Danio rerio: one gene and its partners. The protein of the gene in region 1 interacts with the protein of each later gene in a pairwise test. Links are inferred from orthologs where the notes say so. Each region holds a gene or a part of one and is shown in the gene's direction. Other genes may lie near its edges.

Evidence for each region.
Region 2: the proteins of myod1 (region 1) and id2a interact in a two-hybrid assay, tested with the Homo sapiens proteins (2 studies listed by BioGRID). The link is inferred for Danio rerio from reciprocal best matches to the Homo sapiens genes MYOD1 and ID2.
Region 3: the proteins of myod1 (region 1) and id1 interact in a two-hybrid assay, tested with the Homo sapiens proteins (5 studies listed by BioGRID). The link is inferred for Danio rerio from reciprocal best matches to the Homo sapiens genes MYOD1 and ID1.

Annotation. Positions count from the first base shown.
Region 1 is NC_133200.1:33,820,343-33,831,108, reverse strand, and holds myod1 (myoblast determination protein 1 homolog), read left to right. Parts: upstream 1-3,800; 5' UTR 3,801-3,979; coding exon 3,980-4,489; intron 4,490-4,776; coding exon 4,777-4,855; intron 4,856-5,037; coding exon 5,038-5,276; 3' UTR 5,277-6,007; downstream 6,008-10,766. Other genes in the region: zgc:172145 (Ferritin light chain, oocyte isoform-like), read left to right, coding at 53-346; tnnt3a (troponin T type 3a (skeletal, fast)), read right to left, coding at 9,159-9,195, 10,162-10,202, 10,290-10,380, 10,456-10,568, 10,752-10,766. UniProt on the Homo sapiens protein: Acts as a transcriptional activator that promotes transcription of muscle-specific target genes and plays a role in muscle differentiation. Together with MYF5 and MYOG, co-occupies muscle-specific gene promoter core region during myogenesis.
Region 2 is NC_133192.1:36,527,551-36,538,460, forward strand, and holds id2a (DNA-binding protein inhibitor ID-2a), read left to right. Parts: upstream 1-4,752; 5' UTR 4,753-4,819; coding exon 4,820-5,176; intron 5,177-5,535; coding exon 5,536-5,592; 3' UTR 5,593-5,596; intron 5,597-5,903; 3' UTR 5,904-6,923; downstream 6,924-10,910. UniProt on the Homo sapiens protein: Transcriptional regulator (lacking a basic DNA binding domain) which negatively regulates the basic helix-loop-helix (bHLH) transcription factors by forming heterodimers and inhibiting their DNA binding and transcriptional activity.
Region 3 is NC_133186.1:20,792,703-20,802,402, reverse strand, and holds id1 (DNA-binding protein inhibitor ID-1), read left to right. Parts: upstream 1-4,003; 5' UTR 4,004-4,115; coding exon 4,116-4,466; intron 4,467-4,573; coding exon 4,574-4,609; 3' UTR 4,610-5,112; downstream 5,113-9,700. UniProt on the Homo sapiens protein: Transcriptional regulator (lacking a basic DNA binding domain) which negatively regulates the basic helix-loop-helix (bHLH) transcription factors by forming heterodimers and inhibiting their DNA binding and transcriptional activity.

The DNA of each region.
Region 1 (10,766 bases):
TTTTTTTTTGAACTGATAACATTAGGTTGATGAATTGTGTGTTTGTGCACAGAGGCCCGGCACTGAACAGGTGTGTGCTGTCCTCCCTGCTCTGGAGATCATGCTTAACCAGTGGAAGGAGGAGATGAGTGTCATGCTGGAGATTAATCATCTGGCTCATGAGCACGACGATCCACACACTGCCAGTGTAATCAAAAGTCAGTTCATTGAACCCCTCGTCCAAAAGGTCAAGCTCGTAGGCGACCTCTTGACCAACGCTCGCAGAGTGGGCTGCACCGATGACAGCGCTGCTGGCTTTGGCGAGTTCCTCATCGACCAGCTACAAGAGAACCTGACGATTGCTTAGACTTGTGTTCATTTAGAAAGCATTACAGTATATATCCAATGAACAGCTTGAGAACCAATTTATTATTACTTGAAAAGTATTTAAAAGTGTCTACTATATTTTCCCGTATATTTACAGAAGACACTGACTGATATGTAACAGTAGTTCATATAAAGTTGAAGTCAGAATTATTAGCCCTCCTGAATTATTAGAATAATTTTTTCCTCAATTTCTGTTTAACGGAGAGAAGAAATTTTCCACACATTTCTAAACATAATAGTTTTAATAACTCATCTTTAATAGCTGATTTATTTTATTTTTGCCGTGATGACAGTACATAATATTTGACTAGACATTTTTCAAGACTCTTTTATACAGCTTAAAGTGACATTTAAAGGCTTAATTAGGTTAACTAGGCAAGTTATTGTTTAACGATGGTTTATTCTGTAGACTATTGAAAAAATATATAGCTTAAAGGGGCTGACAATTGAGACCTTAAAATTGTTTTAAAAACTTAACTTTTTATATCCGAAATAAAACAAATAAGGCTTTTTCTAGAAGAAATAATATTATCAGACATACTGTAACAATTCCCTTGATCTGTTAAACATCATTTGGAAAAAATAAAATCAAAGGGGGGGGGCAATAATTCTGATTTCAACTGTACCATATCGTATTTTCATGTATATTTACAACTGAACTAATTTCATGACATTTAAATGACTCCTTTATTTTATAATGTGTCATAGCACTGACCCCAATTAATGATTAATTTGCAAATTTGATCTATTTTTGCCTCTATCCTTCATATCAGTATGCTTTACCCAATTCTCACAAGATGCATTTTTGCTAAAGTTTTGCATTAATTAAAGGGATAGTTAATTAATTTTAATTGACTCACTAATTGCTCCCCCTTAAGTGGTTCCAAACATTTATGGGTTTCTTTCTTTAATGAACACGCTATTTTGTTGTACAAATACTGTTGAAGTCAGTTGTTACAAGTTTCAATGTTTCTTCAAAATATCTTCATTTGTGTTCAAAAGCAAACAGTCAGACAACTTTGGAACATGTCCCTTTAAAGTAAACACTTTAATTTGTACTAAAGCTGTATAAATAAAATATATAAATAATCATTTCATGTGCGCACCAAAATGGCACATCTTGTTTTGACCTATGTAACAAGTCCCTCCAAATGTAAATACTATTTAAATGGCACTTTTTAATGCTAATAAAGTTACTGTGCCTTTCGTAATCGAAAGTCAAATTAAAGTTTAAATTTAATTGTTATATTTACATACAGTGCTCAGCATATATAAGTACACCCCTCACAAATCTATCTTTTAAATTCATATTTTTAATAAGAAGCTATATTTTAATATTAATATAATATTATATTTGTGCATATACATTAGATTAGTCAGTGCTGAAGCCAAATCTAGACTTTATTTAACAAAATAACTTATGATAATGGTCCAAAAACTAGTACACTCAAATTTATGTTATAGAAAAAGATAACACTTTATTTTGATGGTCCATTTAAGGATTAGTTGACTGCTTAATATGTTGATACTGCTTCTTCAACAGACATTTAACTGACTATAAGAAACGTTGCAAGTACATGTCAACTTATACTAACCCTAAACCTAACAGTCTACTGCTAATCTATTGAGAATCAGTTGACATGTAGATGCAATGTAACATATATTCAACAAACAGACAATCAAAACAAATTGTGACCTAGAAAAATATTAAATACAAATTTAGAAAAGAGGAAAAATCAGGTGAAGCTAAAATAAAAAAAAAAAATTAATAAATAAATAATGAGTTGGTTGTACCTTTTTTGCAATAATTTGCTTGAATTTAATTGTATTTTATTTTAATTTCTAAATATATTTGGTGACTAAAATGCTATTTTAATAAATAAATCTGTTTAATACATTTTGTTTTGTTTAAATGCACCAAAATACATTGCCAGTATTTACTGTGAAATTGATAAAAATATTCATTTTCGAGATAGGGTGTATTAACTGTATTGTGTGACTGATTTTATTCTGCACCGGTTTTAATAAACATGTTTACATGCCATTTTGTATTTTCTATTAACCCTGTTTTTTTTAACACTATAAAATGAAACAGGGAATTTTATTTTTTATATAATTGTGTCGGTTTTTCAATTATTACTTTGCTGTAGTTGTTATTCAATACATATTTAAATGTATTTTTTATTATATAAAACATTTTGCTGATCCAACTTCAGCAGCATGGATTCTGGCTAAAGACGTATTTGGGGCTTTTGAACAAAATAGTAATTTCATCTGGCTCTTTAACGCCCCCTTTTGTTGGACTGTTATTGAGACTGTCAAGCAGCCAGTGTAAAGAAGGCTAAATAAAGTTGGCCGCATTAAGAATAAATTCTTAAATACATTTTCTTTACCTGATAGACTGATCGTGGTAAATAACCAAATACATTAATCATAAAGTGTCCATTCACTCTCAGAAATAAAGGTACAGGAGCTGTCACTGGGGCAGTACCTTTGCAAAAGATACATACTTGTGCCCAAAGAATCCACAATGGTACCTCAAATGGGGCATATTAGTACGCAAATGTACTTAAAACGCACCCATGAGATACCATTATAAAGCCTTCAAGTGCAAATTTGTACCTTTTGAAAATGTACTGTGACAGCTCATGTTTTTTCTGAGATTGTTGGAAAATAAAATTGAAATGTAATTGCGATTTCTTTACTAAATTATATACGTTTAATGTTGGCTTAATGTAGTTTTCCTTCAGTGTTTCATTAAAATATTTCATACCTAAATTGATCAAGCAATCTTTATCTGTACATTTTGAACACCATGAACTGAAAAGCATGCATAATGTTATTCTGAATTTTTAAACGTGTGAATGTGCGTGTGTATTTAAAAGTAGCTAATTATTGCTCACATTTGTTTGACATTTTCAATGCCGCGCTATGAGGGAAAAACATCCATAAAACAATAAAAACAAAACTAATAATAATTAAAACAACATTTTAAATGTTTGCATTCTCGTATTATTTCTGTTACAAATATATTAGACTTATCAAATTCAGCACTAGTAAATTATACAATTAGAAAATGTATTAATTAGAAATTAGAAACCAATTGGTTGTTTTTTCCATTAACAAGCAAAGTTAAAAGCAAAGCTCATGCTTGAATTTATTTGTAAAGTTGAAATTTGATGGAAAATAAACAAGTAGGCCTAAATGTTAATTTGGTATACAAGCAAATAAAACTTCTATTATTTCTAAGGGAATTTATCATTCTTACATTTTTATAACACAATCATTAGCATCATGCTGTCAAAATCACGCCCCCTTGTTATCGCACATGTTCATTGGTCAGTCTGTCATCTGTAGGACCTCCCCCGACAAGCTGGTGTGTTTATTATCAGGCCCTGATCTCTTACCAGCAACAAGTACCTGAGGGGTACATGCAAAGAAACCCTCCGAGGTCCTGCGAATTTTAGACTGTAGTTTTGAAACGTACGTTATTTCGGGATCTGAAGGACTTTGTCTTACTATTCCTAATTTTGGTTTTTATTTTTTTTACAAATTTACTACTTTGGAAACATTCAAGTACATTTCTTGCTTTTTAAACTTTAACACAAAAAAGATGGAGTTGTCGGATATCCCCTTCCCCATCCCATCAGCTGATGACTTCTACGACGACCCTTGCTTCAACACCAACGACATGCACTTCTTTGAAGACTTGGACCCCAGGCTTGTTCACGTGAGCCTGCTCAAACCCGACGAGCATCACCACATCGAGGACGAGCACGTGAGGGCGCCCAGTGGGCATCATCAGGCCGGCAGGTGCCTACTGTGGGCATGCAAAGCTTGCAAGAGAAAAACTACCAATGCTGACCGTCGCAAAGCCGCCACCATGAGGGAGAGGAGGCGACTGAGCAAGGTCAACGACGCTTTCGAGACCCTCAAGAGATGCACGTCCACCAACCCGAACCAGAGGCTGCCCAAAGTGGAGATTCTGAGAAACGCCATTAGTTATATCGAGTCTCTGCAGGCTCTTCTCAGAAGTCAAGAGGATAACTACTATCCCGTTCTGGAACATTACAGTGGAGACTCTGATGCTTCCAGTCCGAGATCCAACTGCTCTGATGGCATGGTGAGAAACTTATTTTATATACTGAGGCTTTTACATACTATAGCTACAGTATAATTGTGATGTCGCTAAGCCATAAGTCGTTTAGTGTTTACTTGGACAAATAAACTTGGACTTGTTTTTTTGCACTGATTTTGTAATTTAGGATAATTCAGCAACATTATTTTTCAACATTTAAGAGAAAGATGGGAATAATTAAAGATCGCTTGTAAATATTTTATCTCTTGTGTTTGCTGATTTAATTTTCTTTTCAATATAAATATAGATTAAAGTGTCTTTTCGTTTCCCAGATGGATTTTATGGGCCCAACGTGTCAGACGAGAAGACGGAACAGCTATGACAGCTCTTACTTCAATGACACACCAAATGGTAAGTTTGCTCGAAAAATAAAATAAAATAAGTTGGCTGAAAAAATGTTTAACTGTTATGCAAAGTTAAACTATTCTTTTGGATTGAGTTTAAAAGTAAACTATTATGTTTCTAAATTCTCATAGACTAATTTTATTTGAGTTAAAAAAATAAAAATCTTTCTGTTTGTTTGTTTTTTCTAGCTGACGCACGGAATAATAAAAACTCAGTGGTGTCGAGTTTGGATTGTCTGTCCAGCATCGTGGAGCGAATTTCCACAGAGACTCCTGCATGTCCCGTGCTGTCAGTACCGGAGGGGCACGAAGAGAGCCCGTGTTCTCCGCATGAGGGATCTGTCCTGAGTGACACCGGAACCACCGCACCGTCCCCGACCAGCTGCCCTCAACAGCAGGCTCAGGAAACCATTTATCAAGTGCTTTAAAATTCTGCAACATTTCAAAACAAATTGAAAAAGACAATCTGAATGAAGAAACTTTCAGCAGAAAAAGGCGAATCCGACCTTTAACGACAAAAGAAAGACTTTTGATCCACTGCTGGAAACTAGGAAAGAATGCTTTCTTTCTTTCTTTCTTTCTTTCTTTCTTTCTTTCTTTCTTTCTTTCTTTCTTTCTTTCTTTCTTTCTTTCTTTCTTTCTTTCATAGACTAATTCTTTTTTTCTTTCTTTCTTTCTTTCTTTCTTTCTTTCTTTCTTTCTTTTTTTCTTTCTTTCTTTCTTTCTTTCTTTCTTTCTTTCTTTCTTTCTTTCTTTCTTTCTTTCTTTATGCGGTGGAAAATGTAATTCCAATATGAGAAAAGACTCAGCAGATCAGCAGAAGTGAGTTTCTTAACTAAGCTTATTTATATTGTTATATCCACGTGAAAATGTGACCATATTTTTTTCCCTTTGTGAATATATTTTCTGTCACCATCACCTTTTATTTTCCTAATTATTTACGGAAAAAATCGTAATCCAGATACGAATAGTAGGACCATTTTTGTATATGTGTAAATAAGATCTGTTTTGTTAAAGCGACGAAAACGAACAAACATATTATTGTATTTAATGATGCCTGTTTGAAACACTAGTTTGTTGTGTCTTGTGTTAAACTTTATATTTATACTTCTTAAACGAGTGAATGACGGATAAATAAAAACAACTATTTATACTGGAATATCTATGTGATTTGTTGTGATTTATTGGATGTATAAACATTTAGCCTACTGTACACGTGATATATCAATTTGTTGAAATCAAATCGGTTTAGCGTTACACAATAAACAGGCCTGTACAATTTAGATTTATTTATACCTTATTTCACGAGGTTGTAGCTAAAAGTGATATCACAATAAAAAAAAAGTACGCAATTGAAAAATAAGATTATAATCGTTTACATGTTGTTCTGAAACCATTCGAGTTGCAAGAACAATTTAATGCTCCTCAGTATTTGTTTGATTATTATTGCATCTGAATCAAAATAATTTAATCAACTAGCCTTTTATTACAACACAAAAAGGTGTAATAGATTTTTATTTATGTTGAACTGAAGGGAATAGGCATTTTCAAAGAAAATGAAATGCTTGGTCTCTCTTTTTTACATTTCGATGCTTAACCATTTTCATAAAATGATTACGCGTCAAGCAGCATGAATATGTTTAATTCAAATATACAGACCTTTATATTGCACTAACTAAAGTACCAAACGTATGTTTTCGCTGTGATAAAATAGCAGAGCCATTTTAAAAACAATTCTATGAGGTTTATGAACATTTGCAAAATATAAATATTACCACTTTCATTATAAAGAAACTTTTTTTTATTGAAAGTTCTCACAGATTTAGATCTAAAGGTTCTTTACGGATGCATATACAGATTTTGATGATGATGATAATAATAATAATGATAATAATAATAGGATGGTGTAAAAATCTTTCTTTTTAGAAAGTGCCCTTTTTAAATTTAGATGGAAAAAGTTTTAACACCCATGGATTGCCTTTACAAGTCTGTTCATTCAATTCAGACTTTTGAAAGGTTTACTACTATTTTTAATGTAGAATCTTAAAGTTCTTTTGAGAAATCCATTATGTGCAATTAATAGAATTGTATTGTATTGCATGCAAAAACCTTCAGGTTCATAATGCTACCTTCATTAGTCTATACTTATAAAATGTCGCGTAGGATTTTAGACAAAAATGAATTATGATTTTAATGAAAATTGTTCATTTATCGATTATTTTATGAAAACCCTTCCATGCCACTTGGACAAATAATACATTTTAATACATTGCAAGACTTACGATATTAAGCCAATAGCACCATCTTGTGTAGTGAGCTTTACGCATTATAACACTGTCACTGACTTGGGAAAACAAAGTAGCCTAACTATATTTGCCTGTTTTTTATTTATTAATTATTATTATTAATTTGTTTATTTTGCTGTTCTAACCCACACAACTTAGCCTATACCCTCAATGATCAGACTATTAAATATTTAAAAAATATATTCAAAAGAAGACGCAAGTTGATGCAGCAACACAATTTTACACAATTAAGAGAGAGAGAGAGAGAGAGAGAGAGAGAGAGAGAGAATCTTCTCGATATATATACTGTATAAATAACTTTACATGCTTTTATTGTATATCATACGGTATATGCCATGTCTACAATTAATGAAGATTAATGAGTTTATTTTTCCCAGTGATGGGTTGCAGCTGGAAGGGCATCCACTGTGTAAAAATGTGCTGGATAAGTTGGCGGTTTATTCCACTGTGGCGACCCTGGATTAATAAAGGGACTAAGCCGAAAAGAAAATGAATGAAAGAATAATGAGTTTATTAATAACCCAAACAAATGAACAAACTGAACAAAAGGGATTACTATATACACACTCACTATACCTAATAATATCATTTTATCCATATTACTTTTTGAGCCATTTTATTAATGCAGCTTCTTCTATTGATATACTGGACCTTAAGGTAAATATTAAATAGCCATTGCTGTCTATTGAATGTGCGTACTGTCAACGACGATCGGAGAGGGTAGTGGCGGTTCTAGTTTAAATGACACCCTGGGCGAACCACCCTATACACCACACCTCCCTTGAATTGTTAGATTTGTTATTCAATAAATATAACAATTTATTTATATTTATTTTATTATTATTTATATACAATTATTATTCTGAATAAATAACAGAAATCAGTCCTAAATATTACTGGAAAACAACAACTGGGGTGATATGCCAAGATCACTTAAGAAAACTTTTGCATGAAAATTAATTATGACAATTCTAAAGAAAACAAAAAATGTATTATAGAATTATCTGTGGTCTTAGACCAGATCATGGCTGAGAACTCATGTTATGAAGTCTTACCTCCCTGACTCATTATCCCTCCTTTCTGCTTTAAAGGCATGCTTAGTGAAAGTAACATCATCATCATCATCATCATATTATATAAACTTTAGTCGACTTTCACCTCTGAACAAAAGGCTGTTACTTCGTTTCACGGCGCATGAGCGGCGCGTATTTTGTCGGCGTGCATGCAAACAACCAACCGGGATTCACACAGGAGTGCGTAAGGCGCGCGGGAATTGTTTTCTGCGCGCATGCGTCAGTTTGCTTTCACCAGCATTCACCATTAAACCAGCACTAAGGGTGAGAGACAATGAATCAGCTACGTCTGTAACACCAACAATAATTTAGTGGCTGCATTTTATTTATTTAAACATTTGGGATTTATAAGTACATTTAATGTCAACAGCAAAATTATATTGGGGTGGCCACAGGGGTGGCCAGAGTTTACCGAGGGGTGGCCGTGGCCACCCCTGGCCACCCCTTGGGGGCGCCCCTGTCGTCGAGATTTTCTAAACCTATTCTCGATGCAGCATCAACACATATTAACATACAGTGCATGGAATATGGTGCATTGGTGTTGGAATTAGAAAGAAAAGGGGAAAGACAACATCTAAAAACAAAAAAAAGGTTTATTGACTTTGAGTTATGAAGAAAAGTCCCTAATGAAAACTAACTATGGTTAAAAAAAAGTTATTGTAGTTAAAGTATGGTAACCATAAATAAAACATGATGTCACACTATTGTTTAGCAAACCTCTGATTATACAAATGGTAGGCTAATCAGCCCGTCGTTTTTTACAATAATAAAACCATGGTTAATGATCGTAAGGCTTTCACACTTTATTTACATGGCATATAAAGGAACTGGTTGAAGATGAGAAAGAGTGGGTTGATCAATGTCGGGTTGTGTAGTCAGCACAGAGGTATCCTTCATCACTCTGGTGGTTTTGGCCTGCGGGGCGATGCACTTACTTTCTGCGACGAGCGGCGGCGCCCTTCTTGCTGCTGCAGTGCAAGAGTTAAAAATAAAAAAGTGAACTAACTTCATTTCTACCTACTTCACACCATGGCATGCACATACCGTGCTTAGCATATTGAATACACCCCATTTTGAAAATGAATATTTTAATCGTTTCTCAGTGAATATAGGCGATGTAGGCTATTTTGGTGCGTTTAAACAAAACAGATGTATTAAACAGATAAATCGATTACAAAAATATTTTAGTCACCAAACTAATTTAGAAATTGAAAAATAACACAATTAAATTCACGCTAAATATTGCAAAAAAAAATTACAACCTACAAAATTTCAACTAATTTTTTATTTATTTATTTATTGCTTCTCTTGATTTTTCCTCCTTTAAAGTTTGTATTTAATATTTTTCTATAACATAAAAATTGGGTGTACTAGTTTTTGGACCGTTATGGTAAGTTATTTTGTTAGATAAGCTTTAGATTTGGCTTCACTACTGACTAATCTAATGTATAGCCTATGCGCAAATATAATATTGTATAGCAAAAATATGGATTTAAAAAATAGATTTGTGAGGCGTGTGCTTATATATGCTGAGCACCGTAGGTTATTCAAACAGGCTTGAATTACTGTCATAATATCTGATGGCTGCTACAAACACAGCAGCATATATTTATATATATATATATATAGTCATAAAAATCACACTAGGTTTTAAATTATTATTATTATTATTTGTTTGACTTAAATAAGTAATAGTCTTGTGTGTTTTTTATGCTTAATATGCAAATTGATATCTAGAGAAGGTATTCATTGTATGATACTGATATGCTAGAATAAATTTACATTTATTTACAAATCAAATGATGATTTATAGATCACAAAATGGAGGTGAAAACGTGCATACACCCCATTTATACATGATGAGACCCCTACACTGAATCCAACACATTCAGGCCATGCACAACAGAGGGCGCTTTGGCATCCATGAAACTTACAATTTGCTGAGCTCCTCCACTCTCCTGCGCAGTGTAGTAACCTGATGAACATTGTTGTTGAATTAAAGCCACTGACACTTTAAGAGACTGCATATTTTAATGTCCTCTTTTCTATCATGTTTTCTTACCTCGTACTTCTGTCTCTTCAGCCTCTCCATGTGTTCAAATTTCTCAGATTCCAGAGTCTTTATCCACTCGTACAACTCTTGTGCTTTGTCCCTGAAGTTGATGACACAAAGACATAAGACCTTTCCTGATAGTTTACCTAGCTACTTTATCAGCAGTAAAACTCACCTCAGTTTGTCCTCATTGAGATGGTCGATATTGAGTTGTTTGCGTCTCTCAGCCAGGATCTTTTTCTTCTTCTCTCTTTCTGTCTGTTTCTTTCCACCTTTCTTGGAGTCAGCCTGAAATACAATTGAGACTCTGGCATCAGTCATCTACAGAAGGCTAATCGACTAATGCTATTGCTGGTGTCAAATACCAGTAATTTACTAATTAAAAAAAGCCAGATATTAACAAAATTTCAGTTTAAGCATTTATAAAATTAGTCATGGCGCACGTCCCTGTGAGGTTTAAACAGAGCTCACCTTCTGCAGGTAGCT
Region 2 (10,910 bases), on another chromosome or scaffold:
GTAAACATTTACTGCTTCTTTAAATGTTCAGACCATTTGACTTTTGTCACTACAAATGTCATTATGCTACTTAATATTGTTACCCATCATCTTTGGTTTGCTTTATCAATAAAATAAATCATCTGACCATTCAGTGGGGGGAATTTTTGAACAGTCAAGATGGACTGCGACTGCATGATGTAAATGATGTTAATGTGCAATTTTGCACAATTCAGTCATTTATTTCTGTTATTATATATTTTTTGTATTTATTTTTAATTAAGCTAATCACACGTTAAAGCTAACAATTAAATGCATTACAATCGCATTAACAACGTTTTGTCTGAAGGGATTTGAGTAGATGTTAAATTGCTTAAATTTAATTTTATTTTATTTACTGATGATGTGTCCCATACAGTTGAACTAAGAAATATTAGCACCCCTGAATTATTATTTTTCCCCCAACTTCTGTTCAACAGATATTTTTTTCCAACACATTTAAAAATAGTTTTAATAACTCATCTCTAATAACTGATTTATTTTATCTTTGTCATGATGACAGTAAATAATATTTTACTAGATATTTTTCAAGACACTTCTATACAGCTTAAAGTGACATTTAAAGGCGTAACTAGGTTAAATAGGTTAACTAGGCAGGTTAGGGTAATTAGGCAAGTTATTGTATGATGATTTGTTCTGAAGACTATCAGGAAACAATATAGCTTAAATGGGGCTAATAATTTTGACCTTAAAATGGTTTTAAAAAAATTTAAAACTGCTTTTATTGTAGCCAAAATAAAACAAATGAGACTTTCTCCAGAAGAAAAAATATTATCAGACATATATGAAAATTCCCTTGCTCTGTTAAACATCATTTGGCACATATTAAAAAAAAATCAAAGAAGGGCTATTAATTCTGACTTCAACTGTATATAAATAACCAAACACATACATTATAACTTTAAAAATAAATAATCTTTACTTTTTCTTGATTAAACATGACACATATTAACATTTGTATTAAAACTGTTAGCTGAATTATATGTGAAAGCATGTCTTTGTCACATTGCCAAATAGCTTTAACAAAAAAATGACATATCTGAATTTCAAGCTTTTATTGTTTGTTAAAACCTAAAAAAAATTAGCTAAAATAAAGCAACGGATAAAGAAAACATCATACAGGCCTTTCTAAATTTCTCACTGACAGAATTAGGCTTACCCTTTCAGTATTGTTTCTATTATTTGACAGATTGTTTGACAGCAAAAGGGAGAGTGTGTTAATGCTCTGTTGTGTAAACCCAAACAGCTGCACTACATTGCGCAAGCCAGAAAGACACACGAGTTTTGAACTGCAACATTTCTCAGGACCCTCTTTTGGGAGGCGAACAATAGCTTAAGCCAAACATCAACGCCACGCCCATGGGGTCGATGTTGCTACAAGAGTCGCGAGCCACACTTTCACGCGTGTACTGCTGCACGCGACAGGCGCGTGGGAGCCCTCAAAGCCACTGCCGGGAGCTGAAACCACAGCCGAGCGAACGACGAAACCATTACAAGCGTCCGGACATCTAAAGCCTATTTAAATACGCGTTTTAGGTGACTCGAGCAGAAATGTTTTGTTTTGTCCCACGTATTATCGGGAAGTTTTATGTGAGAGTTTATCCTATCGCGGATTTTAATGAAAGCGACGCGTTTAATGTTTAAAACGTTTAAAATGTAGTCGTTCGCACAAAATTTCGTCAAAACGCGCATGACTTTGAGAATCTTCCGCGGAACTAAATGTGTTGCTGCTTCACCTGTAGATAGCATATTATATAGGTGTATTTAAGTTATACGTCGATGTTTGATAAAGTCATCAAAGGAAGTTCGGTTCGACTTTTCGGAACGCGGATATCAAAGAAAAGGTTGCGTCATGTTTCAGCAGTTTGGAATTTAAAGCCGTTCGAAAAGAACATCGTCATAATACGCACGACTTCAGATTTATTTTGGATAACTATCTTTTAACTTGGCTAGTAGATCCGTATATTTATGTTATACTTCGATGTTTTTAACATTGACATCAATATCGTAAATATATGGGTAAGATGTGATTCTTTGGGATTTGGTGTCTGAAGAGCCGGAGACGGGAGGAATTGTGCAGCTGCAGTGAGCTGGAACAGCAGAGGAGGCGGTGCAGACATCTCGACTCCATCCCGTGGAGAACTTGTCAACTTTCTGCCAACTTTAGATTGTTTTCTTGCCATTTTTATTGTTAGCTTTTTGTCAGGAGACAGAAACGTAAACGTAACTCTAAAGCCGATTTATGAATAAAGTCATGTTCTGCTGGAGCTTGTAGGCTACATCAGAAGTGTGAGCTTTTGCTTATTAATCCGCTTTGACACTGAACAAGTTTGTTTTTTGTCACTTTCAAGGCGCACGCTGTCGATTCGTTTCGAGAAACCAAACTTTTTAACTTAGGCCTTTATAACATAGACTATTAACTTTTTTAAACTTGATCCCACAGACCAGCTTCTATTATTAGGTAAACTTGTCAATCTATAATCGATATTAGGTCAGATGAGCGGCTGCTGTTAATGTTTAAGCTTCATCGTGCAAACGTGATGCAACAAAACTTCTTAATAAATACTGGCGTGATTTTATAAACTGTTTATCCACAGTACTTTTGAAATTCTACAGCCTTTTTCGACTTTCAAAACCCACCACAATTCGCAATTCGTGTCGTTTCGCACGAGCTTTCTCCGAATGACCCATTTAAACGAAGACGCTCCTCCTTTTATCCATAATAATGCATGACTAACTGGAAATACGTTCTACCTCGGGCGCATATTGAGATAAAGTTGAGGTAACTTGAGGTTGCATTAGCTACGTTTCAAAGTCTAGATTGTTTCGAAAGGGCGAGGAGTCCTCCAAGTGAAACGTAAGCAAAGAAATGCAAATGGATGCAGGTGTGCGGGCCTCGGAGCGCAGGAGAGCTGAGGTGACGAGCTGAACTCCGATCTCTCCGCGCTCGGCCCCATTGATCAGCTGAGGACCGGCGCTAACTAACTGGCCCCGTCTCCATAGCAGCCGCCTGGACGGCGCCGCGAGGACTGGCTGGAGGGCCGCTGTCAATGGGTGACGTCACGGGGCTGGCGCCAGAGAGTCTGCGAGAGCGTGAGCTCGCGGCGCTGCTCTGTAGTGCTGCTTTGCTTGGTGCCAATTCATCACCTGTCAGGGATCAGTCAGGGTGTCATGCGAAATGTACACAGCTGTGAGAACAAAAAGGGCGAGGGAGAAAATGGAAAAAGCCAGTTGCGGCAGATGCGGACGAGTTCACGATACTATTTCTTATGCGTCGTCGTGTTTGTAAGTGTCGCGCGCGCGGAAATAATGGTTCGTTGTTGTAGCAGAGGTTTAAAAAAAAACAGAATAAGAAATGTAAAAGCGTACAAAATGCTTTGTCGTGAAAATCGTTTTTTGAGGAGTGATAATGAGGTGCATTCCGATACATCAACACGACTGCATTCCGACGCATCTCCGCAAACATCTGTTTAGTCGGATATGCACAAGCAACCAGGAAATCTCTCCGTCTCCATTGTTACTTAGCATGTGTAAACAAAGAGCGTTTTTGTCACCACTATCGCTTTCTGAACTCACTGTGGGTTTCTAAAACATGGAAATATAATCTGTAGCAGGGTGACATATTCTTCACGGTCTTAAGAATGCGTTTTCACTTCAGCAGCAGTTTTAGGACAGAATTGTTTTCTCAGTCAAGTATTTTCATGACTATCAATATGCTGCAAGCATGCCTGCACTAGAGAGCAGGGGGAACTCGTCATCACTATTACATCTCAAAACGATCCTCATCACAGGCCATAAAGACTGCTCTCATGTTCCCCCACAGTCATGATGTGTGTAAACAAACATAAACATTAAGGGCACGCTATCAACGACAGAAAGCACAAACTTCAACTGCTGGTGCATCATTTTGATTTGCATCGTAAACGCAATAAAGAAACGCCACTCATCTTAATTTGACATGTTTTCTGTGTTCTAAATTAATGAATAAATATAGAATATATTAAAGACAAAATACAGAATCGCTGGAACTATAAGGTCAAGTGACTTGGTGTAAAAACCGCTGGGCATCTTTATCTAAAATCATGGCACTTTGCCAAAATAATGCCACTGACCTGAAGGTAAAAGTTGAAATCTTTAACACAGAGTTTACACGAGGAAATACAAGACTATTTGAACTGAAACATGTCGAATACATTATGTTCGGTTGGTTTAATGTTAACCGCAGATTGTATGAATCATACGCTGCATAATATTGCTAATACATAAATGCAACAATCCGTTTTCGTTTTACATACTTAGTATGTAGCATATTGTATGTTGAGTGTTCTGGAAATTCAATATAAATAATCCTAAAGCTAACGTTTTGGCACGTTATGACAATTACACTACAAACAAATGCGTGAAAACAACCTTATACTTGCAACTCACTAATTCTCCTGATCGGAAACAGGTACACTGATTTGAGAAATTATCCGTGGAAGCTGAAGGCAGTCAGCGCCACCCTAAACACGCGCTTTCACTGGTCAAGAACGCGGAAGAAATGGGCGGATCTTTGTCGCTCGGCCCAGCAGCCAATAGCGTAACGCGAAGGCGATGAGTGACTCGGCCTTCTCCACCAATCAGCACGTCGCAAACCAGCGAGTGAACAAACCCACCCAGCTGGGTATATATACAGCGATGACAGCTCGCTAATCCACTGCGTTTGCTTCAACAGCCCAGCGCGAACAGGGAATCTCGAACACAAAAAGGCGAGTCTTTTCAACGAAATCCTGCTGTCAACATGAAGGCAATAAGCCCAGTGAGGTCCTTCCGGAAAAGTAGCGCGAGTGTAACGACGACGGAGCACAGTCTGGGAATCTCGCGGAGCAAGACCCCCGTGGACGATCCTCTCAGCCTGCTCTACAACATGAACGACTGCTACTCCAAACTGAAGGAACTGGTGCCGAGCATCCCGCAGAACAAAAACGTGAGCAAAATGGAAATCCTCCAGCATGTCATCGACTATATTCTGGACCTGCAGATCGCGCTCGACTCCAATTCGGCGATAACCAGCCTGCATCACCCGCGAGCGGGGCAGGGGACATCCAGAACACCCCTGACAACACTCAACACAGACATCAGCATCCTCTCACTACAGGTGAATCACCGCCTACTCAATTATCTATCTATCTATCTATCTATCTATCTATCTATCTATCTATCTATCTATCTATCTATCTATCTATCTATCTATCTATCTATCTATCTATCTATCTATCTATCTATCTATCTATCTATCTATCTATCTATCTATCTATCTATCTATCTATCTATCTATCTATCTATCTATCTATCTATCTATCTATCTATCTATCTATCTATCTATCTATCTATCTATCTATCTATCTATCTATCTATCTATCTATCTATCTATCTATCTATCTATCTATCTATCTATCTATCTATCGTGTTGCATGCTTATTGACCTCTAATAACAAGGCTGTTTTGTTTTTCTAGACACCTGAGTTTCCATCAGACTTGATCACAGAGGACAGCAGGACACTTTACCGTTAATCAGGTAAGTTTTCTTGAAAATACAATGTTTTTATGTGTTTTTAATTTTTCTATTAAATGACAAGTATTTGATGCAGAGGGTTTAGTTGAGGAGCAGTGTGCATGTGTGAAGTTGCAGAAAGTGTGTTGACTTTGCAAAAGCGAAGGCAGAAGTTGTGTACTGGTGTACATCTGGAGCCCAGGGTTTTTTCGCTCAGTCTCTGAGTGTTTGGTTAAATGTTCAAACTGCGGCTTCCTCTCTGGCGCCAGGCTGTCCGGATCTCTGCCCTGTTTGCATTCTCTAAATGCGCCTCTTTCTCAATCTTTTGCAGGTGTTTGGTTAAGACACAAGAACACACAGGACCTGGGAACTGGCTTTTCCTCTGATTTCTGTTCTCAGTCTGGAGTTTTTTTTTCTTCTTTTCTTTCCTGTAATTGAATCAAGAGACTTTCTTTTTTTCCTCCTTCTCAAAGGACAATCCATGTGATGTGTTATGAGTTCGGACATTGATTATTTATCTTCTAAAAAGACTTTCTTCAAGAGGAAGAAGCACTATATTCCCTGAAAATAGGAGGGAAACCTGTAAATGATCACAAGGAACCTTTTCTCTGCATTGAGAAGAAGTCTTACCTTTTTTTTTTCTCGTGAAGAGCGGCGTGTGAATGAGAAGATGTGGTTAGTTATTGTACAAAGATTTAAGTCTGTTTTTTTCCTGTCAATTCTTTTGGCACATGAAGGACTGGACTTTTGAAAAAAAATAACGTGATGAAACCTTGTGAACTCTCTCTCTCTGAGTTTTATCCTGTATAGTTGCAGAAATTGGACTGCCGGTATCTGCAAAGTGTTATGCTGTATGCTGAGACTTTTTATAAAAGTAATATTGTAAATTGTACCTTTTTTTTTATACAAAATAAATCAAATGCTTTATTTGACGCTTGATTACTTTAAATGTCGATATATGTGCAGCATAGTGACCTTGCCTTTTATATCCAGGACTCTGAAGCATGTCACTGACCCTTCAAACTTGCACATTCGCCCAAGGAATGTTCTATTGAATCTTTCACATTGCTATATTGATTTGTGAAAAGCATTTGTTCCAGTTTCTAATGGGTCAGAAGGTGCTTTATCCTACTATATACATGTATAGCTATTCAACACTCTCAAAGCCTGAAAGATTCGATTGCGGTTTAATCTTACTCTGGTGAAACTTCTTTAAGTCAAACATTAATCATGAGTGTATCCACAAGTTCTCTCACTCGTATAATCTGCTATGCATGAAGCGGCAGTTAAAATGAGAGCTTGAGAATCTGTGGAATTCTGTTGTTAAAATAAATGATTTTCTGTAGGTTTATTATGGTGTGAAATAATAACTCTGAGCTAGCAGATTGATTTCATACTAATCACTTCTTACAATCAGTTTTTAGAGCCTTCTAGACTATGCAAGTGAAGCTGGTGCCATCTTAGTTTTAGTGACATGAGACATAAGAAATGACACTGTAAAAAAAAAATATGATCAATTGGTCATGACAACATGTTTTTATCTCATTCTAACTTATTAATCCAAGCTAATCATGTTCTAACTTAATTGTACAAATTACGCAAGCTGTTTTAAGTCAGTTTAACATAAAATAAATTCAATGGACTCAGGGTTATTTTATTGGTTCAGCTTGATTTAAGGCAACCAGGATTTTTTTTACAGTGTAGTTTCCATTGTGTGTAGGGAGTAATGCAACATGTGAAGGGGGTCTTTTTGTATGATTTTTGTTAAACTTATTTAACAATAGAAACAAGATTATAATGCTTTGCGAAAAATATTTATATTCCATATATCGATGCAAAGTGTGCATATCTAAAATTAAAGGTTGTGTCTGACATGCAGCTTAAACCACTAGTGGTGTTGTTGATATGAATAGTGCGCCACCTGCTGGTAGCCAGACCTAATCTTTAAAAAAAAAAAAAAAAAACTTCATGTATTCATTTAAAGAAAATGTGCAGTTAAAGTCAGAATTATTAGGCCGTTTATTTTTTTCCCTCAATTTCTGTTTAACGGAGAGATTTCTAAAGATAATAGTTTTAATAACTAATAACTGATTTATTTTATCTTTGCCATGATGACAGTAAATGATCATTTACTAGTTATTTTTCAAGACACTTATATACAGCTTAAAGTGACATTTAAAGGCTTAATTAGGTTAACAAGTCAGGTTAGGGTAATTAGACATTGTACAACACAATGTTCTGTAGACTATTGAAAAAGAAATAGCATAAAGGGCCTCATATTGTTCCCCTAATTTTTTTTTATTATTAAAAACTGCTTTTATTCTAGCTGAAAAGACTTTCTCCAGAAGAAAAAAATATTATCAAACATACTGTGAAAATTTCCTTGCTCTGTGATGTATTTAGCGTATATGTCCTGATCATTTGAGAAATCTAAAAAAAAACAAAACTGTTTATGTATTTATATAAATAAAGGAACATATGTGTGAATTGAATTAAGATAATTTAGTGTCCGGTTTATCAGCGTACACTATTAAAATACAACTAAAACTATAGGTTTTTGATCAATTAGTCCTGACAGCATATGTTTTAGGTCAAATGTGCTACGTTAATCATGTTCAAATTTAATTTTTATAAGTTAGTTTTACGTCTGTTTAACATAAAATAAGTTCAATAGACTCATAGGGTTCATTTCATTCAGCTTAAAAAGTTAAGGCAACTACATTTTTTTTTACAGTGTACAAACATATGCAACAAAAAAAAGTAAAATATGATTAAAGTGTCTGAATTTTATTTTGAAATATTTCATGCGTCATAAAATCAAACTCGTATTCAAAAGGGCTGAAAACAGTTTTAATGATTTGAGAAAACCAGACCAAACACTGAGGCAATTGGCCATACACAAATCACACTTTTCAAGAAACCTCTCTATCTCTTATAACACTGATCACTCATCTACAGCACTACAAACTCCAGAGGACAAACACAGGGATGACCTGAAGATGAACCGGACATTAAATCACCAATCAATAACGATGATCACAGCACTATGTAAGTGTGGCTAAATCCTCACTCTACTTGATAGGTTTGAATTTTGCGGACGGGCCTATGCTAGATCTTTAATGTTAGCAACGGAGCGTGAAATAACAGGATTTGCACTAAACACGTCAGAAACTATCAACAGCTTCACAGCCTCTGTTTATATTGCTTTTTTAAAGCAACACTAAAGCAACAATAATCACGTTTCTCACACTTTTAAACTGCTTCTTCTTCATCTGTATTTTGACTTTGTTTTACAGTTTAAAATATCCAAACATCAAGATAAATCCATGAACAAAAATAAATCAAGAATGAAAAAGGAGGAGATGTAGTATGTTTTAACAATAAACCTACTCCATATACTAAATGAAATCTATTATTCTAGGCTATTATTGATGTACAAGTACACCATTACGCTATACTGCCAAATAACGCTCATGTACATTTCTTCAAATGTTAAAATGTTCATAGAGGAAAAAAATAAACAATAACCTAAATTAATGTAGCAAAAGCATTTGTTAATTTTCCATTATCTTGAATGTTTCAAATCATTTATTCATTCAGCTTAAGTCCCTTATTTATCAGGGGTTGCCACAGCGGAATGAACCACCAACTATTCCCCCATGTTTTACACAGCAGATGCCCTTCCAGCAGCAACAAAGCTTTAAATCATATAAATTATATTCAACTTTTCCATAGCTAACACGTGTCAGTTTCTTTTTTTACGGATATCTCAATATTTCTTACGCAAAACAAAGCATAAACACTGATTAAGAGATTTTGCAGTGAATCTATCCATGTAAAGAATCTAACCACACAAAATTCAACACAGAAAAAATGAGAAGTAACTCGGCTTCAAGTTTACTTCATGTTTTATAGTAATCTCAAACCTTTCCAGTTATTTACCCTTCAGAAGTAAAAAAGCAGGTGTGTTCAGTTCTGTTCCTGAAGATCTTGCAAAGTTCAGCTCAACCCTGATCAAATACACCTGAATAAGCTGAACAACAGTGTCTAACTTTGACACGAGTGCAGACGAAAGACATTAAGAATGAAAAAAACGTTAACAGTGATTCTGTCCTGACTAGATGTGGCATAAAGTGAGCGACAAATCTTCATAGTCTCATTCTGTTTACGGATATAAAGGACATATAATTGGTTTGACCCGTGTTACGACCTCTATTTCAGGCGTAGGTTTGGTCCCTGAGAGCTGCAGTGCAGCAGAGTTTTGCTCTAATCCTAATCAAACACACCAGAACAGGCTAATCAAGTTCTGAGGGCTACTACATTGAGTTCCACACGACACAATTCCTTCATGTTTTCTGAAGACAAATCTATTAAGTTAACTTAACTGTTGTTAGAAATGTAGGTAGATTTAACATAAAACGTTTTTTTTTTTTACTTTAATTGCTTTGTTTAAACTCTGAACAAGCAGCAAAATCATCGTAGAAAGCTACAGGCAGGTGAGATCTTATCAAGGCTGGACTAAAACTCTGCAGGACATCGTTTCTTAGGGTGCAAACCTGCCTTACCTTACTGTAACTGTTGCAACAATAAAACAACAGGTATGTCTAGTGTTTACACAGTGTCAGATCTTCAGAAGTACTCAATCATTTAGAGGTGAACTGTAGGAAGGTTGCGTATCCTCGAGTTGAAATGATTAGTTCACTTCCAGAATATGAATTTCCTGATCATTTACTCTTTTTTTTTTTCTTTTCTTTTCACAATGGATAAATGATCCCAGAGAAGGAATAAGGGTCTTTTATAGTGAAATGATGGGTCATACTTTTTTTTTTTTAACCACAAACGTTTGATTAGCTCTGGTTAAAACATTAAATTCTGACTGTGTTATTGAGTAAGTAGCTTATTCCTCATTCTGGATCATTAAGAGCTTTTTGGAACTGTATTGAAAACTAAATATGGAGGTTCAAACCTGAGCACCAGAAGTCAAAAATGGTGGGTTGCACAAAATCAATTTGTGTTGGGACAACGTGAAGATATTGAGTTAACCTATTGGTTTTTACAAATTTAAGTGGATTAAACAAAAAACAATTAAGTTGTCCCCAAAAACACTCAAGAATTGAGTTGTTTCAGTTTGTTTTAAAGAAATTTGAACAAACAGTGAGCGCTTTTTTTGAGTGTTTATGGAAAATGTTTTTCTCAAAATCCTTAATTTTCTTTCAACGGAAGAAAGAGGGAAATAGTCAGATCTTGAAATACATAGGGAAGCGAGTAAATTATCAGATAAATGAAAATTCTGGAAGTAAACTATTTCGAGCTGTGGCTAAAAATCATTTGAGATATT
Region 3 (9,700 bases), on another chromosome or scaffold:
CTTATGCTGGATAAGTTGGCGGTTTATTCCTCAGTGACGACCCCAGATTAATAAAGGGACTAAGCTAAAAAGAAAATGAATGAATGAATGAATAAAGCAGCATAAAAAGATTTGTTGCCTTGACTTTTTGTCATTAAATTTTTAAAGTGTACTGTCAAGAAGCGAGGGAACCCGGAAACTCAAATGTATACCTTAAAATAATAACTACAAATGTAACAACTTTGTATTTCAATTGGCACCAGGCCTTGCTGATTATCAAAACAACATCCATAAGCAAACTTGCATTTATTCATAGCCTCATTCTAATATTTTATGGCCAACATCCAATCAATTCCCACTGGATGCATTCAATTCCCACACTACATTTTTTCCTCATTACTCAGTATCAGAAATATGTCATGTTACGGAAGTCAAACGTGTCGTGAAAAGCTATTCAGGTTGATTTTATGTCATAGTATGACTCACAGAAGCTAATTAGGTCTGTTCCTAGTGAACTGCATTGTCTTATTGCACTTTGCATTGAACACTTCCCTTCTGTGTCTGCAGCTTTGTGTCGCTGTGATGTTGTGAATTAAAGACTTCACAGCCAGCTGATGACACAGCACAGAACACTGCAGCCTTGTCAGACAGCGATCACATGACTTCTGACAGGATGCGATTCCCTCGAGGACAATTATCTGAGGCCACTCTTCCCATGAGAGGGAAAAGTCAAAGATGCATGCAGATGCTACAAGAAAAAGACGAGTATTCACACCAGCCGCACCAGCTTTTTCCTGCTCTCTGACATATTGTGAGAAACAACTAGTCAGGTCAGAGTGTAATCGGGACAAGAACTATATGGTTTCTGTAATTTAGTTCATCAGTTAAGCTGCATTTACAAATATAAACAAACAAATGAAAGAATAAATGAATGATTTCTGTGTTCTAGTTGAGTATATTGAATAAAATTATGTTCTATTACATCTAAATTCACGTTATTTCAATATATTATTTGTATACTGCAATGATAAATATAATAAAAATAAAAAGTTTCCTTGTTATACGGGTATCTAAAAGTTCATTTTAAATATGTAAATATGCAGTATTGTCTACTGCAACTATAGGCACAAATTATGAATGAATAATTTAATTAATTATTCTATCCTGGTCTTAAACCATTGGCAGAGCTGAATAACTTTCTATAATTGGTCTTACAGTATATGCAAAATAAATTATTGAATGGTCCTGTACAAAAACCATAGGCTCACTTGATGCACATCACATATGTTTTACTGAACAAATAAGTAAGGAGTGGTTGTTGTCCAGTGGCCAGCATATGAGGTAATTGAGCAATAAAGCATATATAATTTGTAACTTTTTCCTTTGAACGTCCTTTCTCTGCTTCTAGGAATATGTTTTATATTTTACCAGAGTTCATAAGGGTGTGTGAGTGTGTGTAAGGGGGATGTTACACTCTTTGCCTCTCTTTGCCTTGATGTGCAGTAAACAGGCTTTGGAGAGCCCAGCTGTGAGGGCTTATTGTTGGAGTCGGTAGGAAGTGCTGATAGCTTGCGCAGCTGAACAAAAGCGGGATGAGCGAGTGGAGGGGCGCTCCAGACTCGTCGGCTCCAGCCGAGATTCTCTCTCACAGTCCCGATACTGCACTCCCATTGTTCAGCTCCTCCTCCGCCTCCCCTCAACCCCGCTCAGCTGTGACCGAGCCAGAAACGCTCCAGTCCCTCGCGCTCCTGCCTGCAGGATGCAGAGCTATGCACTCGCTCAAAACAACGTGCACAAATCCATGCACGCGCATTTAGATTTTATTTTAAGTGTTAAAAAAATAATAATAATTGTCGTTGCACATTGCGAGTTATCAGTGTTTTATCATTTTCTTGTCACAAAATTGCTTCTTTTTCATTTTGACCTATTTAATTATGCATGTTATAATGTTTATTTTTATTTAAAACATTATATGCAACAGATTTGTATAAAAAAATAACGTTAATTTACCAATTATTATATTTAATTAATACTTAGTGTATTTTTAAATAAAGTTTAGCATTTAAAAATAATTAGCATTCGCCTTATTTTTATACAATAAAATAAAAGCATTGCTGGAATCTAAAAAAAAGCCCCTCCGGCTCAATAGCCCTTTTTCACTTTGTCTCTCACTTTTTGTGTCTTTACAAGAGTCTTTCGGGACGACAATGGCAGTTTGCAGGTGCGCGGAGCGGTAATCGCATCAGAGGTTTTAAGTGATAAATGAGCGCTGACCAGTTTGTTCTCAGGATTCCGCAGCGCGCAGGTGAATGGGGGAGAGTGGAGGGATGCCAGCCTGTTGTTTGTTGTTGCTATAGGGACCGCCCGCTCGGCGCCAGGCTGACAGGCGTCAAGGCTCGAATGAATGGGTGACGTCACGGCGCTGGCGCCCGGCAGTCTGCTTCGGTTTGTTTGGACAATCTGGGGGAAGAATCAGAGCACAGCAATGCAAAGTTATGCGAGTGCGCGCTCAAGGCGACGCGCACATATGAAGGAATTTGGAAGTTTGCGCGAGGAAACGCATTTAAAGAAAGACAAAGAGACCATCATTGAAGGAAAATAAACAGATTTGAATAAAAATGAGCTTCCCAGCACAATAGAATAAAGCTCCAGTCTACAAGTAATGCACTTACTGTAGGATAATAGACTATGAATACTTTATGTGCATGCACAACAGTTAAAAGCACACTAAAATGTATTGCATTGTGTACAGAAACAGATCCCTCTTTTGCAGTGATGTCAGAAGAACTTTTTGTAAAAAACATTACACTCTAAACACTTACCTTCCTCTAAAAAAAACTTATGTGCAATGGTAAGATTTTATGGATGTTAAAGATTAAATAAGCATTACAAATAAAGTTTGACCACTGCTCCTTTTTAACAATCTGTAGTTTTTTAAACTATCTGCACACATACTTTGATAAAATACTCATTTCTAGTCAAATATTTTATTTTTAATGCATTATTTTGAAAGCTTGTCAGGCAAATCAAAATCTGTATGACAAACATGCATGAAGCCATTTTGTTATCATGTGACAAGAAAATAATAACCACAGGATTGCATTAGATACTTTAAAACTTTTGTTTGGGTTTATGAGATGAAAACATTATATTCAACATGCATTACAGTATACATAATATAAGTATAAAGTGTCCTCTTTCTCTGTTTTGCTTACTTGATATTTGCATTATGGACACAATAAAATAATTCACAGAGTGAATTTATTTAGACAGTCATGAGTTAAGATCTCTAAGAAACCTTTTATGATGTTGTTTTCTGGTTTGTTTAATAGGGAATGAAGTATAACGTTTGATTGTTTATGTTTGAAATCTACATTTGAATTAGCTACACTCATGTGATGAAAATAATAAACAGACAGAATTCTTTTAGATTCAGTGTTTAAAGGGGGTTGTGATGTATTGTTTATAGTTTGTTTAAAATGATGTTCCCTCAACTTATGAATACCCCGCATCCACCTCCCCAATAAATCATAACATTTTTATAAATGTTAGGTCATGGTGCCATCATGTCCACTCACATGTGTTCAGGGTGCAGTTAACTCAGCAATGACAGATATATTTGCAACAAGCTGAATGGATGGAAACAGAGATGCTGATGGAACATTTTACAGTATGCTTTGTTTCTCGCAGCAGCCCACATACGAAGAAAAGCTTGTTTCATTTGAAAGTAATAACTGTTGCCTGTTGATCGTCGAGCACCCCCACCCTCCCCTTGATCTGTCTGCTTCACCTGTGGAGTAAACGGACAGCTGGATCTCCACACATCATCCGCAGAAGACACACATTTGTTTCCATTTGTAACACCATCCCCCCGAGCATATTGAAACTGCGATAACAGAGCCGTGCCTTCATTGGCTGAGCGAGGGACTCCGCAAAAATCCTATTGGCCCGTTCCCGCAAACACGAGTGTTTGGTGACGCCCCCAAGCCCGGAGACCCTTTAAATAACGAACAGCTCAGCCTCTGAGAGCATGTGGTGAACTGTCATCGCACTATCGACAACTCAACAAGCCTTTAAAAGGAGTACGAGCACCTCGCTTCAGCTATTCCTCTTTGACTTACTCGCAAATAGCCAAAATGAAAGTTGTGGGACCTACCTGCGCGCTGAAGAGCAGCAAAGTTGGAGGAGAGGATGTTGTCCGCTGCCTCTCCGATCAGAGCTTGGCCATCTCCAAATGCAAGATCCCGCTGCTGGACGAGCAGATGACCATGTTTCTCCAAGACATGAACAGCTGCTACAGCAAACTGAAGGAGCTGGTGCCCACGCTACCGACCAACAAGAAAGCCAGCAAGATGGAGATTCTCCAGCATGTCATCGATTACATCTGGGACTTGCAGGTCGAGCTGGAGAGCAAGAAGAACCAGAGCTCCGCTCCCCGCACTCCGCTCACAACACTCAACGCGGAGCTAGCCAGCATCTCTGTGGAGGTAAATATCGCACATGCTTAAGATATAATGCTTGCGTCTCTATATGCATATCAATAATGTTTGTCTGAACGACCCAACTCACTATGTTCCCTCTTTTTGTCTTGCAGAACGGCTGTTCAGATGACCGGATCATGTGCCGTTAAAGCAGATACTCCCGGTGGCTTCACGTCAACAGATCATCGAAGCATCGTGATCACGGTGCGCTGAGGTGAACGAACAAACAAACCCCGATGGACCAGTGACGCCGTGAACTGTGTCGGGAGAGTCTCATTCTCCTGTTGTAGAGGAAACAAACTTTCAGTAGAGAGTCACACAAATCTGTGGACATGACAAGCGTGACGTGCTCTCTCCTTCTCTGAGATCTCTCCCCGGACACACACCGATACGCGTGTGTGTTTGTGTCTGTGTTTAGCTGTGGAATCCATGGCGATTATTCACTTACTGTTCATGCATTTCCCTCTCGGTCAAAGTTTCTCCAATGTTTTTGTAACTTTTTAGAAAAAAATACTATTTTGTTGTCAGATTTCTCAGATTACTGAGCGAAAGAATGTATTGTATATTACAATGCCATATGATGTGAACGCTTTATTGTGTTTTTTACAATGTATATTGTGTTTTTTTTATTAAAACATGAAAATCAAACTTATCTTGGAGTTGTTGATCAATTTTGTGAGTGAATGGAGCCGATTGAGAATTCTGTTATTGGGAGTCTTTTATGCTTTATTATCTAGTAGTTGTAGGCTTAATAAACGTTTAACTGTAACATGTTGTAATCATGTCACTACATAATTGTTAATTTAGGGTGGCCTGTATTTAGCCTGACGTCTATCGTTACAGATCAGTTTTATGAGTTCTCACTTTACACTTTTGTCATTGGTGATTACACTGAAACTAAACTTAGCCTATCAGTACAGCTTTTCACTGCAGAACCAAATTAGCAGTTTTAAGTCACTAACTACACAAATAAAAATTGTTCATGATATAATTGAATAAACCTGATATAAAAGGAGAAGTTTTAACTTTAAATTTTAAAGATGTTACATTAGAAAAAAGGTAACAGTGTTAATTAACTTTCCAAGCCCAAAATATTGTTTAACATTACAAGATCGGTCTAAACACGGTTAATTTAAACCAATACAACTCAATAATTAGGGTAAAATAATGAATATCCAATAGGCTATATGAAACATTCATCACATTTCACAGGGAGTCTGAATTCAAAAATATGAGTTTAATGAGAATGATTAAACTTCAATATATCATTTAATCTTGCTAAAATCATTGCTGAAACAAATAAACATACCTATTTAAACTATTACAATTCACAACATATATACTAATTAAAACTATCAAAAACGGCAAGTTAGTTTATCTACAACTGTTTAATCTTAATATATTTTTGTAAAATTAAAACGAGTTTACCTTGACATTACTATAATTTAAAAGAAAATTCACATGGAAAAGTCTGCAGCTAGGCCTATATGACAGATAGCCTAACTAATATCATCAAAAAGAGGGAAAACTAATTAAATAATTAGGCTTTAATTTGTTAGAGACTCATCAGAAGTTATTTTTAACTACAGTGACACTCGTTAACAGTTTTAAAAGTCTTATTCTAGGCTTATTTTGTGCATCTCTGTATTTCAATGGCGGGTAGCGGAAGGGTTAAGTGTTTTCCGAGAAAAAGGCAGTTCGTTATAAGATTTATTCCGTCTCCCTGGTGCAATGTTTTTCTCATTTCCCTGCGGTGTGATGCGCGCAGCTGCAGGCCTCGCGATGTGCGGCTCGGCCAGTGTGTGTGATTGTGTTTGTGTGATCGCTTTGTGCCAAGGGCAGGGGAGGGCGCAGACTGAACGGCGCCGCCGCACACCTGGGGAAGTTCAGGTTAAATCGCTCCACATTCCTCGGCACACAGCTGATTGAAACATTAACAAACAGTAATCCGCAAGCCCGGGCTGCAGATGGGCCGGGAACACGGCCAAGGAACTCTCACTCCCTCTGTATAGTTTCCCACATACTACAACGAGAGCTTCTTTTAATAAGAACTTAGCGCATTTAAACATAGCGCCACACACTGCAGCCAACTTTCCCACTAACATCAACTCAAACTCAACGGCAAAACAAAAGACAATGGGGACATGCTGTTTCCAGGCCATTGCGAGATACTTGAAATGAATTGTGGTTATAAAGAGTGTTCCCACCCTAAATTAAAGCAATTTCATGTTAACTAAGTGGCGTTTAGCCTAGCTTGTGTATTTGTGTACTGTGTGTTAGCCTACACCAACTACGAGACGGTTTTGACCGAAATATGATGGATATTCTGTAAGAAACCCCAATTTTTAGAAAATTCTTATGCGGGTTGTTTTTATTGGATGATACTTACGATTTATTAATGATGAGGTGGATAAATGGAGTCACTTTTTGTCAAAGAGGAAACTAGTTTTGTTAGTTGAGGCCGGACAGTTTAGCGTCTAGCGCCCTTCTGTGGTCACACGGCGAAGCTTGTTTTTTCAGACAAAGTTTTTCAGACTTGTTTTTTGACGAGATTTTACGTTAATATATTTCTTAATATACGTTTTTGTACCATAAACTTCATAAAAACAACACTTGAGTTGTTTATATTTTAAACAGATTTAGACATTTACGGTCCTAGCGCGAGGACACGGTAATTAGGCCAATTTTTGATTGTTTTTGAATCATGGATTTACTTCAAATACAACCAAATGGTAACCACAAAATAGCTCTATTGTATATAGTTTATCAATAGTATATTTATATTATTTTATCTGTTTAGTTAACAGGGACATTGTACATTAATGAAACATTTCTAAACGTACCAGAATTAGCCAAATGCTATTTTTCATCTGTAGGTTAGTTCCTGGACAATATGTTAAAAGTCATCCTAAAGAAAATGTAATTAAAATACATAAAAAATAAAACACACAATTCATTTAAAATAAAAAAATAAATACAAAGTGACCAAGAGACCTAAAGGTCAAATACAATGTAACGTTAAAATAAAACGCTGGTTTTCACACAATTCCTTCATCCTGTCCCAACACAAATCGAGTAAGCTAAATAATTTTTTTTTACTAATTCAAGTTGATTGAGCGTAAAAACAATTAAGCTATTATAAAAAAATCTCAATATTTGTGTTGAAACAGCTCATTATAAATAATTACTCTGAACAAGCAGTTTTTTTTTTTTTTTTGAGTGTACAGGGTTTTAATGTTGACACAACCGAGTGAATAACCATAATTTTAATGTAACCTTAAATACTTAATTTCTATATCTTCAACAGTAGTTGGTAAAACATTCCATTCTTGTGTAGCTTTTATGGAAAATGAGAACTAACTAAGATTAATCTAATATTGACTAACTGATTGAGAGGGAGTGTTTATACAGTTACTGCATTTTTTTACTATTTGCCGTAAAAGTATAATTATAATAGCCAATCTTAAAGAAAAAAGCCTACAGTAACTTTATAATAAAACATATCTACCTACAATACTCTCAAACAGAGCCTATTTGTTTCTGTAGCCTGAAAATGACTTTTAAAATAGCCCCCCGAATGTCAAGTCTGAAGACATCAATCTGGCCCTCACAAACTCCAAACACAAGATTTAACAGAATTCATTTGTTTTTATCTTTCTAATTTCTTTTGTTATTTTCTATGTTATCAGCTCCATAAACCAGGTCAAGGATATCCTCAAATGAGGTTTTGGGACATTTTGTCAGACTTTGCTCATATCTGGGGACAGATATGGTTTAGCACATACACGTGCATGAGGAAATTTCATGGACCTAAACTGAAGAGTATTTAAAAAGAAGCTTTTGTGACTTAACTACACACACAAACCACTGGTCTGTTATAAATTTAATGCAGAGCAGTGACACAGACACATGAGGATAATATATGGGGATTATCAACACTATTTAAAACCATCTTTTATTCATTTAATAAACTTGAAAATACTAAAAACATCCTTCATTTGTACTTTTTCAGCATAATTTTGTATGATAAGCCAGGCATCTTCCTCATAGTGAGAAAAATGGCTATGATAGATGTTTATTATTGTCGTCATATTTCACATGATTTAGACTTGCTGTACCTTTGTCAATTCGTAGTACACTCACCGGCCACTTTATTAGGTACAATATAATGTCCAATTGCTCATTAACGAAAATTTCTAATTAGTCAATTACAATTTTAAAAAATGTGATTTAAATGACTTTGAGCGTGGCATGGTTGTTGGTGCCAGTATATCAGAAACTGAGGATTTTCAGACTCTGGGATTTTCACGCACAACCATCTCTAGGGTTGACAGAGAATGGGCCGAAAAAAGAAAAGATCCAGTGAGCGGCAGTTCTGTGGGCACAAATGCCTTGTTTATACCAGATGTCAGAGACTGGCGGACTGGTTCGAGCTGATAGAAAGGTAACAGTAACTCAATTAACCATTCGTTACAATCAAGCAGTGGTGTAAAGTAACTAATTACAGATACTCAAATACTGTAATTGAGTAGTTTTTCTCAGAAATTGTAATTTACTAAGTAGTTTTAAAAATGTGTACTTTTACTTTTCCTTGAGTACACTTTTAGTGCAGTATCTGTACTTTTACTCTCACTACTTTCCTTCAACCTGCAGTAACTACTTTATTTTTTCTTGTTTATGGGAATTAGACAAATCAGTCCTGTAATTCCTGCCCAGTCAAATTACACATAAAAGGTGAATTACATCATAATGAACTACTTCAAGACATTGCTTCAGATAGCTACTTCCAGCAGGATAACACGCCATGTAAAAACGTGAATCATCTCAGACTGGTTTCTTGAACATGACAATTCACTTGACCAATTCACTGTACTCAAATGGCCTCCACAGTCACCAGATATCAATTCAGTAGAGCACATTTAGGATGTGGTGGAATGGGACATTCATACCATGGATGTGCAGCTGGCAAATCTGCAGCAACTGTCTAATGCTACCATGTCAATATGGACCAAATATCTCAGAGAAATATTTCCAGTACATTGTTGAATCTATGCCACAAAAAGTTAACGCAAACGGAAAAAAGGGGGTCCAATCTAGTACTACTAAGGTGTACCTAATAAAGTGGCCTGTGAGTAAGTGCACCCTATTTAGAGTTCATTTAAATTGTGGTTTGACCCATTAAATATAAACACTTGGCCATTAATAATATCCAAGTTAATACAATGTAGTAAACTCCTGAA